2 linked regions of the Neurospora crassa OR74A genome follow. Each later gene encodes a partner of the first gene's protein in a complex. Links are inferred from orthologs where the notes say so. Each region holds a gene or a part of one and is shown on either strand. Other genes may lie near its edges.

Evidence for each region.
Region 2: NCU00979 (region 1) and NCU06843 share a complex: the UniProt entries of both Saccharomyces cerevisiae proteins name them as parts of the large ribosomal subunit. The link is inferred for Neurospora crassa OR74A from reciprocal best matches to the Saccharomyces cerevisiae genes RPP2B and RPL3.

Annotation. Positions count from the first base shown.
Region 1 is NC_026501.1:6,512,148-6,515,371, forward strand, and holds NCU00979 (60S acidic ribosomal protein P2), read left to right. Parts: upstream 1-1,396; 5' UTR 1,397-1,549; intron 1,550-1,611; 5' UTR 1,612-1,620; coding exon 1,621-1,779; intron 1,780-1,845; coding exon 1,846-1,972; intron 1,973-2,030; coding exon 2,031-2,077; 3' UTR 2,078-2,500; downstream 2,501-3,224. Other genes in the region: NCU00980 (hypothetical protein), read right to left, coding at 1-631, 691-696; NCU00978 (checkpoint protein kinase), read left to right, coding at 3,127-3,224. UniProt on the Saccharomyces cerevisiae protein: Component of the ribosome, a large ribonucleoprotein complex responsible for the synthesis of proteins in the cell.
Region 2 is NC_026502.1:1,783,596-1,788,018, reverse strand, and holds NCU06843 (60S ribosomal protein L3), read left to right. Parts: upstream 1-1,453; 5' UTR 1,454-1,582; coding exon 1,583-1,595; intron 1,596-1,824; coding exon 1,825-1,903; intron 1,904-2,029; coding exon 2,030-2,186; intron 2,187-2,244; coding exon 2,245-2,268; intron 2,269-2,338; coding exon 2,339-2,988; intron 2,989-3,046; coding exon 3,047-3,302; 3' UTR 3,303-3,741; downstream 3,742-4,423. Other genes in the region: RCM-1, read left to right, coding at 1-112; NCU06844 (hypothetical protein), read left to right, coding at 4,137-4,139, 4,256-4,423. UniProt on the Saccharomyces cerevisiae protein: Component of the ribosome, a large ribonucleoprotein complex responsible for the synthesis of proteins in the cell.

The sequences.
Region 1 (3,224 bases):
TCCCGGTAGTCGGTGGCCTTACATCCTTCTTGCCCTTTTTCGCTTCCTCGGCCTTTAATTCCTTGCGTTCCTTCAGCGTCAACTGCTTCTCCACCTTCTTGTGCTGAATCTTTCCAACGGATGACAGCATGGGCTGATTGGCCTGGGCCCTTGCCATGATCTCTGCATAGGAGCGTTTCTTCGGAGGTCCAGAGCCGGCGACAGGAGCGCTAGGGGCGGGTCGGCTGACGAGCGGTCGCGAAAGTGGAGCCTTATTCCCATTCGAGCTTGTTCCTCCCACCTTTGACTGCGTCGATGTGGTCTTGGTTGACACCGGAGCTGTTAGTTTCGTGGTCGAACGTGGTTGCGCGGTGCCGGTGTAGCCAGTTGTTTTTTCTGCGGGACGCGTTGGGTTCGCATTTCCTGTGGGGCGCTCCGTCGGTCGGTCGGCGGGGCGCGCTGTAGAAGGTTTCGATACGTTTCCATTCGGCCGGGCACTTCCATTTGTCGCTGGTTCGGTACGCGGGGCCTTTGGCGCAGAACCTCGAAGGTCATCGTCGGCCTTCCGTTTAGATGCTGTTGGGACATCTTTCGTCGAGATCGATGATGACGATGGCTTTTCGCCCGTTATCGATGCGAGCAAATCCGAAATCTGCACACGTGTCAGCCAGCCTTTTAAAGGGCAAGCGCACTAAACGAATGGCAACTTACCGGCATGGCTGTGGTTGTATCGGTGAATAACCTTCTTTTACCAGCTTTGCTTATCCTTCTCCTGCGTTCAAAAGACGGAGAGTTGTCCAGGCATCGAACAAGAGGAGAAGGAAGTAGGTGGCAGGGTTTTATATGCTTCCGTCACAGATCGCCTCAACTGACGATGCAGATGCACAGTGGGACAAGCGCGAATGCTTTGGCAAAAAACACGGCGAAAGAATGGGCGCGAGTATGCGAGGTCGCCAGTCGCCCGATAGTGCCGAAACCAAGAATAGGAATTAGGTTGGAGATGGGTTGTTGGCGAAAGAAGAACAAAGAATCCTGCGTGATCGGGGACTTGGTTTCGCAACTTTTGCTGGGCAGAGACAGAGACGGGAGCCAGGATGGTCAGCGTAGTGAACGACCCACCCAGTCACTTCTGGTCGGAGCGGTGAATCGCGGTCTCCGAGGTCAAAGTCACAGGCCCAGACGGTCCAGACCAGCAGCGTGCCAAGCCGCACGTCACCGAAAAGTTGTGTTTATTGCCAAGAGCGCCCAAGGCGTTATGAATTGGCCAGCTTTTTATGTAATTGCAAGCGGCCGGCAGGCAACGACGGAAGGGAGCTTGGCGGGAAAGAACGCACGGGATCTGCCCTAAGTCGAGTGGATTGGTCAGGTGATTTGAGGCTTGTGGGCTTTCGTGGGGCGCAAAATTGCGGGGCTTCACAGGAACGAAATTGTAAAAATAATCCGTGATCGGGTCCCGTCCGCGAACTTCTTTCCGAAACAGTGAACTTCCACCCCCAAGAACCTAAGAAGAGTCTTTCTCCGCCACAACTCAGCGGTTAAACCTGATTGACATCTCTGGTTCTCCAGCTCAGTAAGTTTTTGGTCCAGCCTTCCACAACCGTAGGATTTCCGTCTAACAACGCGACCTTCAAGACAGACAAAATGAAGCACTTGGCCGCTTACCTCCTCCTCACCCTCGGTGGCAACACCGCCCCCTCTGCCGCTGATGTCAAGGCCGTCCTTGAGTCCGTTGGCATTGAGGCCGACTCCGAGCGCCTTGACAAGCTCATTTCTGAGCTCGAGGGCAAGGACCTCAACGAGGTACGACTATTGTCCGGAGAGCAGACTTGAGTGTCCGGCGCACATGGCTAACACGAGATATTACAGTTGATCGCTGAGGGTTCCTCCAAGCTCGCTTCCGTCCCCTCCGGCGGTGCTGCTGCCCCCGCTGCCGGTGGTGCCGCTGCCGCCGCTGGTGGCGCTGCTGAGGAGAAGAAGGAGGAGAAGGTTGAGGGTAAGGACACATTCAATCGCTTGCGCTGTCGCATTCAGCTGCTAACTGCTGGGTACAGAGAAGGAGGAGTCCGACGAGGATATGGGCTTCGGTCTCTTCGACTAAGCGTCTCCTACCATTGTCCGGTAACATGGCATGGTATTTTCCGAGAAACCTTGACGGATTGTACACGCGGTTCAAAAGTCACCTGCATCACATTCGCCTTGACGGCGGCAGCAGAGCTGGAGTTCTTGGGATTACAAGGGCACGTCTTTCATAAGGGCGTCAAACGGCACATAGGCGGAACAATACAAGTCGCAAGGTTTTCTTCGGACCTTTTTGTCCCTTCGTGATCATACATGTGCGTGCTGCGCTGTTCTGGACATCTGCGCCTGCAGCTAAAATTGCTGAGAATATGTTGCTTGAACATGCATGTTTGTGAGCTCTTCTTCTTTTCCGTTCCTGTTATCGCACTGATATGGCGTCCCATCGACGGCGCCCTGCGAGAACGTTGGTAAACAAATCCCTTGATATTCACTTGACATGCAGCTCCATTGTCGTCTCCATTCATTTATCGATACGCACGGTTGCATGTGGTTCCTTCAAGTCGGGCTTCCCTGTTGTTTTTGTTGTTGTTGCTGTAAACAAAGCTTGGCAAGCTCATCACTGGAGTTTGCGTTTCCCAGAGAAAGGATCCATTTCAGCGGTTGCCGCGAGCAACCATGCAACATCACCCCGTGTTTTGATTGGTCGCAGCTCCACAAGTCAAAATACTCGCTCCTAGCGAAAGCCAACAGTCAGCACGCACCCAGGGCCCCAATACAGAGTGAAACCCCCCATCGTCTCCTCTAGCTTCCGTTCACGACATGCTTCATCCGCGCCGCACCATATGATTTCTCGCTACTCTCGTTATTCTTGGTTCCATGCGCTACTCTGGCACGTAGATTCGCAATCGCCCACGCAGCCCTGTGCTTATTAGGTATTATTTTCTTCAATTTTGGACTACATCTGAAAAGGCGGCAAACCAGGCGCAAAACAAGAGCAGGATCGTCCGTGGCTGCGAAAGACGGGCAAGGTTCCAAGCTCGCAAACAGGACGAAAAGTTAGGTCCACCCAACGCCGAGCCAGCGCATTTGCAACCGCAACCAAAACAACAGGGGCGGTAAACAAAACACATGAACGACATGTCGTCCATTTCGCCAACGCCCATGGGCGGTGGAAGCCACTTTACGTCTATGGGAAGAAGGACATCCGCTAGACAAGCTTTGCGACG
Region 2 (4,423 bases), on another chromosome or scaffold:
TATTCCCGGTCCTTCCTCCGGATCCGGCCCTGCAGCAAACGAGTCCAAGAACGGAGCCTCAACGAGCGGTAGCTTCAACGGCATCATGGGACAAAAGTCAGAAAGCAACTGATTACATCATCTGCCGTGTACCTCGAGCTTCTGCGCGAGAGACAAGACCCAGTGTATCTGCTTATAATACGGCAGAGGTAGGAGAACCCAAGATCCTGTCGATGTCATAATGGTTTTGCTTATGGATGGGAATGTACGTCGACTTGTTCGTTTTATGTGGTTTGAAAGAGTGGTCATCATTTCACACACATGGATGATGGAGACAGAAGGACCTGTGAAGCTCAAGATCTCATGGGTGCGAAATGCACTATTTTACCACGTTTTGACTGACCGGTAGGAGATGAGGAGGGAGAGGAAGGAGCGGATTCCGATGTACATACATTATTATGACTTGTGTTTGGAATAGAAGCGTGTGCATGTCATCTGTTGGAAAGTCGACAGCGAGAAGGGAATGGGAATATCCTCAAGAGGCGGAAATGAACTCGCTGCTTTGCCATAGAGGCCAGTTAGAGAACATGATTACGATTGTCGTTACACTCTTGGGATCGTAATTGCAACGTCGTGATCATTCCCGCACGGGATACGGTGTTATTGAAATGGCTGAACGGCGCCTCAGCCCGAAAAGTCAAGGAGATGACAGCTAAGTGTAGTGCTTTCGTGGTTATCCCTTGTAACCAGTACGCCTTTGACCATGCATGTCCGCCTAATCATGTAATCATGTTAAGCCAACCCACTTGTTTTACATCTACGACTGTTATAATGCCCTTGTCCACGAGCTCGACAAGCTAGAGGTATTGAGTCAAGAAGCAGATGGGGCATTTGACAATGTCGTCATGCTTCTGACAGGCAGCTGACAACCCCAATAGATGGAGATCTCGCTTTGATCCAAACAGCCCAACCTAGGCTATTGAAAGCCACAACAGCTTGCTCTCTTTGACACCGTGGGCGCGGACATCGAATTCGGAGAATCAGCCGTGTGATCAAGATGGAGTCAAGGGGGGGAACAACGAAGATTGGAGCTCAACATATTGTAACCGACCAGACCAAACAGAGCCGTTGCCACGCGCAGGCGCCGAAAAAATCCCATATCTCGTATTCCATCTGCGAACGTACCTACGGCGGCAGCGGCGACGATGACGGACTTATACGCAGAGCAATCAAAGTCACGTTTTCTGCCACCTCAACAGGACTTTACCTTGTCATCAATGTGCCATTAGTGAATGGCCCGCCAAGCTGACTAAGTGTACGGGGTCGCTCTTGTGGGGTGGATTGTTCTGGGCTTGGCTGGTCATCGCTGGTTGGCTGGGCGGGCTCGAGGAACAGGAAGGCGGACATGCCCGCCGGAAAGGGCTCGCGCAAAAGTTAGGGCTCCGCTGCACTTGAGGCCCGTGCACGGTCCAATCCACACCACTCACACAAAAATTTGGCTGGTCCAATTTCTCTGGCGATACTTCTTGATTTTGTTTTCGCGGTAGTGAACTTTTTCCCACTCGACCATCAACAACCCGGGTACTTGGGATCATCAGCAGTCATGTCTCACCGTAGTAAGTAACGCCTCATCGCCGTCGCTGTCGCCGCCAGACATACGGTCTTTGTCGATTTCTACACGCAATCCCGACTTCGAGAGAATCGATGGAGCAGCTTTCCCGAGAGACGGTCGTCGCGATATCGAAATTTTCGACTTTTTGGCGACTGGATTTTGGGGAGCATGCGTGATCACGACTTGGACCTCATGGCAACCTGAACGTCCTTCATGCTGACTCGATGCTTCAGAGTACGAGGCTCCCCGCCACGGTTCGCTGGCCTACCTTCCCCGCAAGCGCGCGGCCCGCCACAGGGGAAAGGTCAAGTCGTAAGTCAAGCTTATCTTCTGGTACCATCGACAACACTATCGCTAGTAGTTTGGATCTTTCGCGATCGGAACTTGGGCAATAGGGCATGCGAACAGAGAGGCTGACCAGTTGCGCGTTCATGACAGGTTCCCTAAGGATGATGCCAAGAAGCCCGTCCACCTTACCGCCGCCATGGGCTACAAGGCCGGCATGACCACCATCGTCCGCGACCTCGACCGCCCCGGCGCCAAGGCTCACAAGAAGGAGGTCGTTGAGGCTGTGACCATCATTGATACCCCTCCTGTACGTACAACGCAGCCCGCTTGGCTCTTTTTGTGTCAATGGCTAACATCTCTCGCAGATGATCGTTGTGGGTCTGGTCGGCGTAAGTCTTTGATCCTGTCCAGCTGCCGTATATGGCCTACCGCGACCGTGTGATCTAACCCCGATATTAGTACATCGAGACTCCCCGCGGTCTCCGCTCCCTCACCACCGTCTGGGCTGAGCACTTGTCCGACGAGGTCAAGCGCCGCTTCTACAAGAACTGGTACAAGTCCAAGAAGAAGGCCTTCACCAAGTACGTCAAGAAGCACTCCGACAACAACGGTGCCGCCATCACCCGCGAGCTCGAGCGCATCAAGAAGTACTGCACTGTCGTCCGTGTTCTTGCCCACACCCAGATCCGCAAGACTCCCCTCAAGCAGAAGAAGGCCCACCTTATGGAGATCCAGATCAACGGTGGCTCCGTCGCCGACAAGGTCGAGTTCGGCCACGGCCTCTTCGAGAAGCCCGTCTCGATCGACTCCATCTTCGAGAAGGACGAGGTTATCGACGTCATTGCCGTTACCAAGGGTCACGGTTTCACCGGTGTCACCGCTCGTTGGGGCACCAAGAAGCTTCCTCGCAAGACCCACAAGGGTCTCCGCAAGGTCGCCTGTATCGGTGCCTGGCATCCTTCCCACGTCCAGTGGACTGTTGCTCGCGCTGGTCAGGCCGGTTACCACCACCGTACCTCGGTCAACCACAAGATCTACCGCATTGGCAAGGGCGATGCTGAGGACTCTGCTGCCACCGAGGTCGATGTCACCAAGAAGAAGATCACCCCGTATGTATCCCCGTCTGTCTTGAAGAAGTTGAAGAGCGCAAAACTAACCCTGTTCCAGCATGGGTGGCTTCGTCCGCTATGGCGAGATCAACAACGACTTCGTCATGGTCAAGGGCTCCGTTCCCGGTGTCAAGAAGAGAGTCATGACTCTCCGCAAGTCCATGTTCGTCCACACCTCCCGCAAGGCCCTCGAGAAGGTCGAGCTCAAGTGGATCGACACCTCCTCGGAGTTCGGTCATGGTGCTTTCCAGACCCCTGCCGAGAAGAAGCAGTTCCAGGGTACCCTCAAGAAGGACCTCGCTGCCAGCTCGTAAATTGGCTGCTGCAGTTGATCTCCTTGTTAGTCGGGTTGCATTGGTGTCACGGTTTTTTCGTTGCTCTTTCGGGTCGGTCGGGAAATGGGACTATACCTAGCATTTACGGCTTAATAAAAAGCTGTTGAAGAACAATGAAACGTTGATCCAGTGTACTGCCAAAGAGAGTGTCCTTCAGCAAAATGTGTTTTATGTGATGTGAACACGTGAAGAATCTGGTGGTTGGCACAGATTCGATGGACACTGTTGTTTATAACTTCGTATGTTTTATTCCAGGACTTTTGTCTTGGGCTGCTATGCCCCCACTAGTGTAGGGTAATGACTTGAAGGGACCAGTGGCATATAGATATACCCAATTTGATAGTCTTGAATGTAGCATGTCGTGTGATTCTCGTTGCCTGTTCTGCTGCGCTGGACGTGTTCGATTTATCAACTGTTCATGAGCTTCCACCTGTCATTCACTACCCGTCTCTATGCTTTCTCTTCCTGATATTGTTCATCTGCGATACCACGACTGATAATGATATCACTTTTCGACCATCTTCTCATATTCCTAGTCGTGCTTTTGGGAGTCCTCACGGCGTACATGGCTGTTGTTACTTGTTGAGGGCATATCAAACCCCGATCGACCTTGCAAGCAGCCCATCTCCTGATTGGTTGACGCTTCCACTCTTAGGCCAACGTGAGATCCGCCATTCCTAATTGGTTTCAGCTACTGCAGGTTACATCATCGGACGTTCGTTCGCATCCCACCACGCAGCCCACCCACCTGACTGATCATTGTCATCGTCGTCCCGCCCAACGAAACGTTCTCAACCTAAACACAACAACATAATGGTTTGAACTTCCCTAACCCTGACCCAGATCTGTTCTAGTTGCTTCTTCCATCCTCAACACAAACTCTTTGTCGACAATCCGCAAAGCTAATTACCCGGCTCTTTCTCGAACACCAGACACCCGCTGGATTGCCTCTCTCTCGAACAACTTCTACGCTTCTCCATTTGCAACGACCAGCAGCGCAACGATTTCTCACTCTCCCGCTCTTGCGCATCACTACGTCCCTTTCCGCAGGTACTACGCTTCATACGCCTCGTACACCGCACATCATCACCTCGACCGCG